2 linked regions of the Sus scrofa genome follow. The protein of the gene in region 2 purifies or fractionates together with the protein of the main gene of each other region. This does not show direct contact. Links are inferred from orthologs where the notes say so. Each region holds a gene or a part of one and is shown on either strand. Other genes may lie near its edges. The genes, in order: TMEM9 and CLCN5.

Region 1 (4,331 bases), on a different chromosome or scaffold from region 2:
TCAGAGATAATTTGACACAGTCTGGGACCTGAGAAATGCAGGATGATGGCCAGAAAGGAACCTGGGAGGCCTGGCTTCCGTTTGATGGGGAAGGTGGTGAGACAGGCCCTGGTACCTTGAGCCCTGGGTGTCAGAGGACCGTGCACTGGAGGTGACCGAGACTCAGCCCCATTCTTCTGTCCCTAAGAAAGTCCCCACCTTCACATGGGAGGTAGATGAGGGGGGAGGGTCTTTTTCCAGTGCCTGAACTGCCCCTTCTGCCCCAGCCTGCTCCCCAAAGCAGTCACTCTAACCTCCAAAATGAGGTAAGGTCTCCATTGATAGATGCCCCCCCCCAGTGGTCCAGGTGCTTTGATCACATCATACCCATTTATGGATGTGGAAACTGAGGCTCCCTAAAGGATAAGCCAACCACCCAAATTCTCACAACTAGGAAGGGAGGAGCCAGGCTTGGTGCCCTGGCCATCCTAGCTCCAAAGCCTGTGAGCTTGTGTCACACCGTAGTGCTCCCCCCACCTCCTGCCCATCCTCCTGCCTGGCTGACTCTAATTCCACAGGGACTCTGCAGGTGATGAGGGTGCAGGGAAGGAGACATGTCAGTAGGAAGGCCCAACACAAGCCCAACCATGCCCACAGGAAGTGCCCACCACTGGCCACTGGCCCCATGAGGGCTGCAGGCCATGTCAAGCCCCCACCTCACCCCAGGGATCCCGGAGTATGGACTGAAAGGGACCGCAGCATCCAGCTAACTCATTTCACAGACAAGGAAATGGGCACAGAACAGGGGAGGTGTCTTTTCCAGGCAACACCACTGCTTAATGGCAGAGCAGGACCAAAGCCCATGTGGCCTCACAGGGTCGAAGCCCTGAAGACTCTTTCATTTGCAGCTGTAACGAGCTCGCTCCTGCCTCTCAGCGACCCGGACAGCCCCCGCCGCCCCGCACATCCTGCCCCTACCTGACGGGTCCAGACCAGCACCCAGGCAGGGGGACCAGGCTGGGCCTGCAGGGTTGCACTCTTTACGGGCCCCTAGCCGCCCCTATTCCTCCTCCTGGCGGCCGGGGTTGGGGTGGGGGGTTGGGGGGAGGTGGGGCCGCCCTCTGCAGCAAAGATCTGACACCAAATAACATTTTCACATTATGAATGAGGACAGAGCCCTTTAGTCTGCTTTTATCGTGTTGTGGTTATCGGCTTTATTGTTTACTAAGTGCTTTCTCTTTAAAAAGACAAGATTGACTAGCTTAAGCTCCCTCCAAAACCCTGGGTTTTAAATATGAGGACGGGGCGAGCTTCGCAGTGGGGTTCTGCAGCCTAACGGAAACCAGACCCTACCGGTTTTTCGCTCGCTTGGCTGACGCTCCCTTTTCCCGTCTGGTGGGGTTGAGAAATACCTCCCTCTCCCTTGCGCGGAGCCTCAGCGCCCTCGCGGAGGCGGGCCTCGTTGCCTTGGAGACAACCAGGTAGCGCTGAGCGGCCGCTCCGGCAACCAATAGAAGCGGGAGGGGCGGGGCCAGTCGGGTCTTGTGCCGCTGCGGCGGGGATCGCAGGTTAGCTACGTGCGTTGGGGGAGGGGTGCAGGGGTCTTAGGGGTCGCGGGGGCTCTGGGATCCATCGCGACCTGGCGGTGGGGTCGAGGTTCCTGGACTCCGCGCCCGGAGTTCTCCTAGGCCCGAGCTGGAGGAACTGCGGGCGGCTATGGCGGAGGGCGGAGGGACGCGAGGCGGGGGTCTCAGGCTCGTTTCGGGTACCCAGGGCCCATGGCCCCGCCCAGGAGGTCCCGCTGCCGGGCGTTCCATGTGGGCAGTGGGAGCCCGAGGTCTAGGGTAGATGGAAGTGGTCTTCGCCGACCGGGCTAGGAAGGCTCTGGACCCCGGGCCCAGCTCCCACCGCTTTCCTGCACCGGAGCGGGGCGGTTTGGGGCTGAGTGTGCCGCGTGGCCATCCGCCCCTTCTCTGCTTCCGTATTTCTTTTCCAGGTGTGCAGTCTTGCCGGCCCCCCCAGGCCTGAGAAGCATGAAGCTGCTGTGTTTGGTGGCGGTGGTCGCGAGTCTGCTGGTGCCCCCAGCCCAAGCCAACAAGGTGTGTGGGGGGCAAGGAGCCGCCATGGGGGGAGGTGCTGCTGCTTCCCGGCTTCTCACTCCCCTGTGGGCCCTGTTGGGGGTGTTCTGGCGGCCCTAGACTGCAGGCCTCCCAGAGAGCCGAGCCGGGGAGAGGGGTGGTCTGCTGCGCGCTGGTCTGATTTGGCCCGCCCATGCCCCAGGTAGAATTCCAGCCTGGGTTCTGTGTTTGGGGAAGTCTAAGTTTTCCTTACCTTCCTTTGCTTCTGGGTGACCTAGGGGTGGTGAGCTTTGAGCGGTGTAAGAAGTGCATGGCTGTGACTGGGGGTGAGGTCTGCATGGATCCAGGATGGGGGGGGGGCTTCCCTGGAGATACTTCTTTGCCTTAGTTTCCTGTAAATGGCCAGGAGCTGGATGGGGGCAGGTCTGTGGAATTCAAGATTCTGAAGACCTTCAAGACCGCATCAGACTGAGTCTAAAGATTGGTTTCCACTTCCTCTGAGGAATTCCTAATTGGAATGGAAGTTGTGTCTTAACTGACCCTTCCCCAGAGGGAGGACTTCCAGAGGGTGTCCATGGAAACGTCCACGTTTTCGGGTTCACCCCCACCTTTTCTTTCCCTGAAGCTCACCTAGGAAGTTGGAGGTGGGGTTGTGGGACAAGGCTAGCTACCAAGACTGTTAGATCCAGGGACACACAGCAGTGTGAGGCCCAGGGCCGAGGACTGTCACCTCGCTTGCCCTTCTCCCAGCACCGTCTACCTGAGCATGGCAGCCCTTGTAGTCAGCTTTCCCTGAGTCTCATTTGCCCTCCTGGACAGTTTCTACAGGACCCTATGTGGTAGCATCCTTCCTACAGGGGTTATTCCAGCTGAACTTGGGGATGGACAAAGGTCATGATCATTCATATGGGGAGTTGTCTTTGTGGCTCAGCCATTAACGAACCCGACTAGGATCCATGAGGATGCAGGTTCAATCCCTGGCCTCGCTCAGTGGCTAAAGGATCCAGCATTGCCATGAGCGTGGTGTAGGTTGCAGACACGGCTCGGATCCTGCATTGCTGTGGCTGTGGTGTAAGCCAAGAGCTGTAGCTCCTATTTGACCCCTAGCCTGGGAACCTCCGTATGCCTTGGGTGCAGCCCTAAAAGGCAGAAAAAAAAGATCATTCATATGGTCAGCTTGTGAAACAGGGAACCGAAAGTTGAGTCTTGCTAGAGCTTGTATCCTGGGCCCCCGGCTACCTGACCGGTGCTTTCTCTTGCAGAGTTCTGAAGATATCCGGTGCAAATGCATCTGCCCACCGTATAGAAACATCAGTGGACACATTTATAACCAGAATGTGTCACAGAAGGACTGGTAAGACATTGCCCAGACTGACCCTTGAAGTTGTGGGTGTTGACGGGGGTTCTTGGACCTCTGCAGGTTAAGCTTACTCTCCCATTTCCATGGAGAATCTTACAAAAGAATATTTTGTCCCTAGTCACGCAACCAATTAGAAATAGGATCCAGATGTTCTGAATACCAGCTTAGGGGTTCCTGGTCCGAGGAATGGGTTTTGTACTTTTGCTTTGACCCGGGTGTTTGTTCACATCCGCAAAAGGGCACCAGAGAAGTCGGGAGAGGTGGGTATGAGGGCCACATACTGTGGGAGCTTCTGCTTACTTGACACTTTGGCAAAGCTCCATTTCACGTGTCAGTTTGGTGCCAACCTCATAACCACCTTGTAAGGCAGTGGGATGGGCTGTGGTCCCATTTTATGAGTGCAGAGACTGAGGCCCAAAGAGAATTTCAATTATACTCCTGGAGTCCCAAATTCATTTCCGAATGCCTCGCTTCACAGGAGAGAGAACCATTCAAAAAATTCATTCAGGGAAAGGAGATCAGCTTGCCCAAGGGCAGCGTCAACATGCTTTCCTGGAAGGAATGGTCTAAGGAACAGTCCTCTGAAAAGGAGAGGGCTTGGGGGCACAGGGGAGAGGGGCTGGCACGCCGCAAGGTGCCCACCCTGTGTGGTTTGGGTGTAGGATTGCGGCCAGTGGGTGCGAGCTCCAGGCAGACAGATGTGTGAGTGGAACAGGTACTTTCCAGGCTGTTTTAGGAGCCGGGGCGCCTCGTCCTTGGAGGGGTCTGAGCACAGGCAGGGTGTAGCCCAATCTGGTCACTGTGGGTAGGTTAGCCTCCCGTGCGGTGGGGGGGACCTAGTCAGTGTTGCCTCTGCTCTCATGAGATCAGGATCATCAGGTGAGCTTTGAGATGAGAGTTTCCCATGATTTGGG
Region 2 (3,808 bases):
GTACCGTTCCTAGTTAGAATGTGTATTATCTTGAGTGGCTTGGGAGATTGATGGAGGGAACAGGAAAAGATGGTACCATCCCACTCACCAGCCACCATGAAAGGACAAGAGTGTAGGCTCCTTGAGCCCAGGAGCCATATCTGACATGCTTTTCTTTACCCCCAAATGAGAAAATGGATATTTAAGAAAGCTATAGGAGTTCCCTCTGTGGTGCAGTGGGTTAAGAACCTGACTGCAGTGGCTTGGGTGGCTGTGGAAGTGCAGGTTCGATCCCATCCTTGTGCAGTGGGTTACGGATCTGGCGTTGCTGCGGCTGTGGCTCAGATTCAATCCCTGGCCTGGGAACTTCCATATGCCATGGGTGTAGCCAAAAAAAGAAGAAAGAATGAAATAGCGACAAAAATCTCTCAGGAAGTCCTCTCTACATCTTCTTTCCTAAACCCCTTGTCATATGTGTTAAAAAGGGGGGGGGGCGGAGGGGGGTGTTCCTATCGTGGCTTAGTAGTAACAAACCTGACTAGCACCCATGAGGTTCGATCCCTGGCCCTGCTCAGTGAGTTAAGGATCCAGCATTGCTGTGAGCTGCGGTGTAGGTCACAGACGCAGCTCAGATCCTGTGTGGCTGTGGCTGTAGCACAGGCCAGCAGCTGCAGCTCTGATCCAACCTCTAGCCTGGGAACTTCCATACGCCGCAGGTGCAGCCCTAAAAAGAAAAACAAAAACAAAAACAAAAAACAGCCTCCAATGGAAAGGCTCTTCCTCAAGACAGGCACCAAAAGGCACTGCTAATAGCACGTTAACATGGATACAGTATCTTAATAGCACACAAACATATTTGAATGCATTTCCTCATTAAACCCCATTTATTTAAGGAAGGATATGAGGTATGAACCCTTCTTTACTGATGGGGACATCAAGCTTCCAAAAGGTCCCCTAGCAGTTCCTTTCACATAGGGAGATGCTGAAGGGCAGCCTTCAATTCAGTTCATGACTTGGGGGGAAGGGCACACCACGCTTTTAGGAGATTGGGTTAGAAAGCTAACATAGTTGGCCATACCTGATAACAGCCCAATAAGTAGCATCAGCAACCAGCCAGAAAAAGCATCGCTCACACTGTGAATTAAGGCCCATGTTGACTCTTTGCTTTTATTGGTAATCTAAGGAGAAATGAGAAAACATTGATACCTTCTTCGCACACCCTGGCTTCTTCACCTCAAAATGTGCAATACAGTAAACACACACACACACACACACACACACAAAGACAAACCTATTCTTTGGTAATAGAGACCAATGTGGAGTTACTTTCTCAAAGCATCTTTGGCTAAACCAACATCACTGAGAACTTGGCAGTGTATTGAACCTTGTCTTAACTGCACCCCACCTTCATCTGCAGGACTGCGATTCCTACAGGTACCGCTTCAGGGCAGCTCTGTTCACCTGCTATTTTCCTATGGCATCAGTGTGGTTTGCTTATGGCAGTGGTCTCTTTCTGACCTGGACCCTCAGATATTCCAAAGATGGTCTCTTGACTCACAGCAAATAGTCTGATTGTTTTTCAAAGAATAAGCAAACATAGGCTTATGTCAGTGGTGAAAGTACGGTTGGAGGTTTACTTCCCAGGTCAGGCACATTCCAAGACTCGATCCCACAAACCCCTAACTGTATGGTGATCGATCATAGATGCCAAATGATGGCAGGGATGATGCTTTGCATTTTCAAAAGCCTGCTGGGAATAGGTGTGGCTATCAAGAGGTGCAGAAACTTTGTGGGTTTTTTTTTTTTACCTTTTAGGCTCTACCCTTGTCAATTTAACCTTGCAATGCTCACATTTCAAAACTAAGCATTTTGGAGTTCCCGTCGTGGTGCAGCAGTTAACGAATCCGACTAGGAACCATGAGGTTGCAGGTTCGGTCCCTGCCCTTGCTCCGTGGGTTAAGGATCCGGCGTTGCCGTGAGCTGTGGTGTAGGTTGCCGACTCGGCTTGGATCCTGCGTGGCTGTGGCTCTGGCGTAGGCCAGTGGCTATAGCTCAGATTCGACCCCTAGCCTGGGAACCTCCATATGCCGCAGGAGCAGCCCAAGAAATGGCAAAAAGACAAAACAACAACAACAACAAAACAAAACCAAGCATTTTGACAGCTTTGTCACTGGTACTTCTCCCTTCTCTGTACCTCTATTTCTTATCTTTGGAACCATAGCATAGCTACCCCGTCTTGATCTACAGTGACAGCACAAGTAAAAATTACTATAAAAATGTAAAAGCACTTTAAACATTGATTTGGAGAGGGCACGGTCTTTAGGGCATTAGCCTGCTGTGACCTCCTTTGCTTGGCAAAGCAATAAAGCTCTTTTTATTCTCCTTCAAAAAAAATAAATAAATAAATTCAGGAGTTCCTATCATGGCTCAGCGGAAACGAACCTGACTAATATCCATGAGGATTCGGGTTCAATCCCTGGCCCCGATCAGTGGGTTAAAAGGTTAAGGTGTGGCCGTGAGCTGTGGTGTAGGTTGCAGATGTGGCTCTGATCCCGAGTTACTGTGGCTGAGGTATAGGCCGGTGGCTGCAGCTCTGATTCAACCCCTAGCCTGGGAACTTGCATATGTCACATCTGTGGCCCTAAAAAGCAAAAAAATAAAAATAAACAAATAAAATAAAATAAAATAAAAATTCATTTTGAACTATGCCTTTACGTTTCCAATGTAAGTGCTGAAAAGGAGATGAGGTGACATTTTTCCCTGGGACAGTGTTTCCATCTAGATGATGAATAGTTCATGCTAAAAAAAAAGAAAAAGCAGGTCTCCTTTGAACAAATGATAAACACATTTTAATTGATTTTGAATTATTATTAGCTGATAAAATGTGTCTCAGATGCAGCCATTTTGATATCATGAGAAATGTGCCCTTGGCATATCACAAGTGGCTTTTACAACCTGAATAACATGTGGAATTAGCAAGTGACAAAATGAACTCTGATTTACAGAGAGCAAAAATTCTAAAGCCGTAAGAGTCTATGTTTTAAAGCCTGACGAATGGGAGTTCCCACCGTGGTGCAGTGGTTAAAGAATCCGACCAGGAACCATGAGGTTGTGGTTTCGATCCCTGGCCTTCCTCAGTGGGTTAAGGATCTGGCGTTGCCATGAGCTGTGCTGTGGGTCGCAGATGTGACACGGATCCTGCGTTGCTGTGGCTGTGGTGTAGGCTGGTGGCTACAGCTCCGATTAGACCCCCTAGCCTAAGAACCTCCATATGCCGCAGGAAGCGGCCCTAGAAAAGGCAATAAAATAAAATAAAATAAAGCCTGATGAATGAATTGATATAATAGAAAGAATATGTGTGTGTGTTCCCAAATAGCAAAATCTTTTTTTTTTTTTTTGGCTTTTTGCCTTTTCTAGGGCTGCTCCCGCAGCATATGGAGGTTCCCAGGCCAGGGGTTGAATCGGAGCTGCAGCCGCTGGCCTACACCAGAGCCACAGCAACACAGGATCCGAGCCGAGTCGGCAACCTACACCACAGCTCACGGCAATGCCGGATCCTTCACCCACTGAGCAACGCCAGGGATCGAACCTGTAACCTCATGGTTCCTAGTCAGATTCATTAACCACTGTGCCACGAGGGGAACTCCCCAAATAGCAAAATCTTAGTAAAAAAAAAAAAAACATTTTCTAGAGATCACCCTTCTGAGTTAGGAGAAGAAAACTTGGTGGGATTATGACAAATCCAGGGATTATAAAGACATTTCTCAAAACCTGAATCTGGGACAATCTTACTCCTGGGTTCAGGGGGTCCATGAGAAAGAAAGCGAGT

The links.
Region 1: the proteins of CLCN5 (region 2) and TMEM9 purify together in Homo sapiens (co-immunoprecipitation; 3 studies listed by BioGRID and IntAct, with this or other methods). This does not show direct contact. The link is inferred for Sus scrofa from reciprocal best matches to the Homo sapiens genes CLCN5 and TMEM9.

What each region holds. Positions count from the first base shown.
Region 1 is NC_010452.4:23,597,161-23,601,491, reverse strand, and holds the start of TMEM9 (transmembrane protein 9), read left to right. Parts: upstream 1-1,502; 5' UTR 1,503-1,547; intron 1,548-1,975; 5' UTR 1,976-2,012; coding exon of another isoform or gene 2,013-2,078; intron 2,079-3,319; coding exon of another isoform or gene 3,320-3,411; intron 3,412-4,331. UniProt on the Homo sapiens protein: Transmembrane protein that binds to and facilitates the assembly of lysosomal proton-transporting V-type ATPase (v-ATPase), resulting in enhanced lysosomal acidification and trafficking.
Region 2 is NC_010461.5:43,781,881-43,785,688, reverse strand, and holds part of CLCN5 (H(+)/Cl(-) exchange transporter 5), read right to left. Parts: intron 1,158-3,808; coding exon 1,058-1,157; intron 1-1,057. UniProt on the Homo sapiens protein: Proton-coupled chloride transporter. Functions as antiport system and exchanges chloride ions against protons. Important for normal acidification of the endosome lumen. May play an important role in renal tubular function.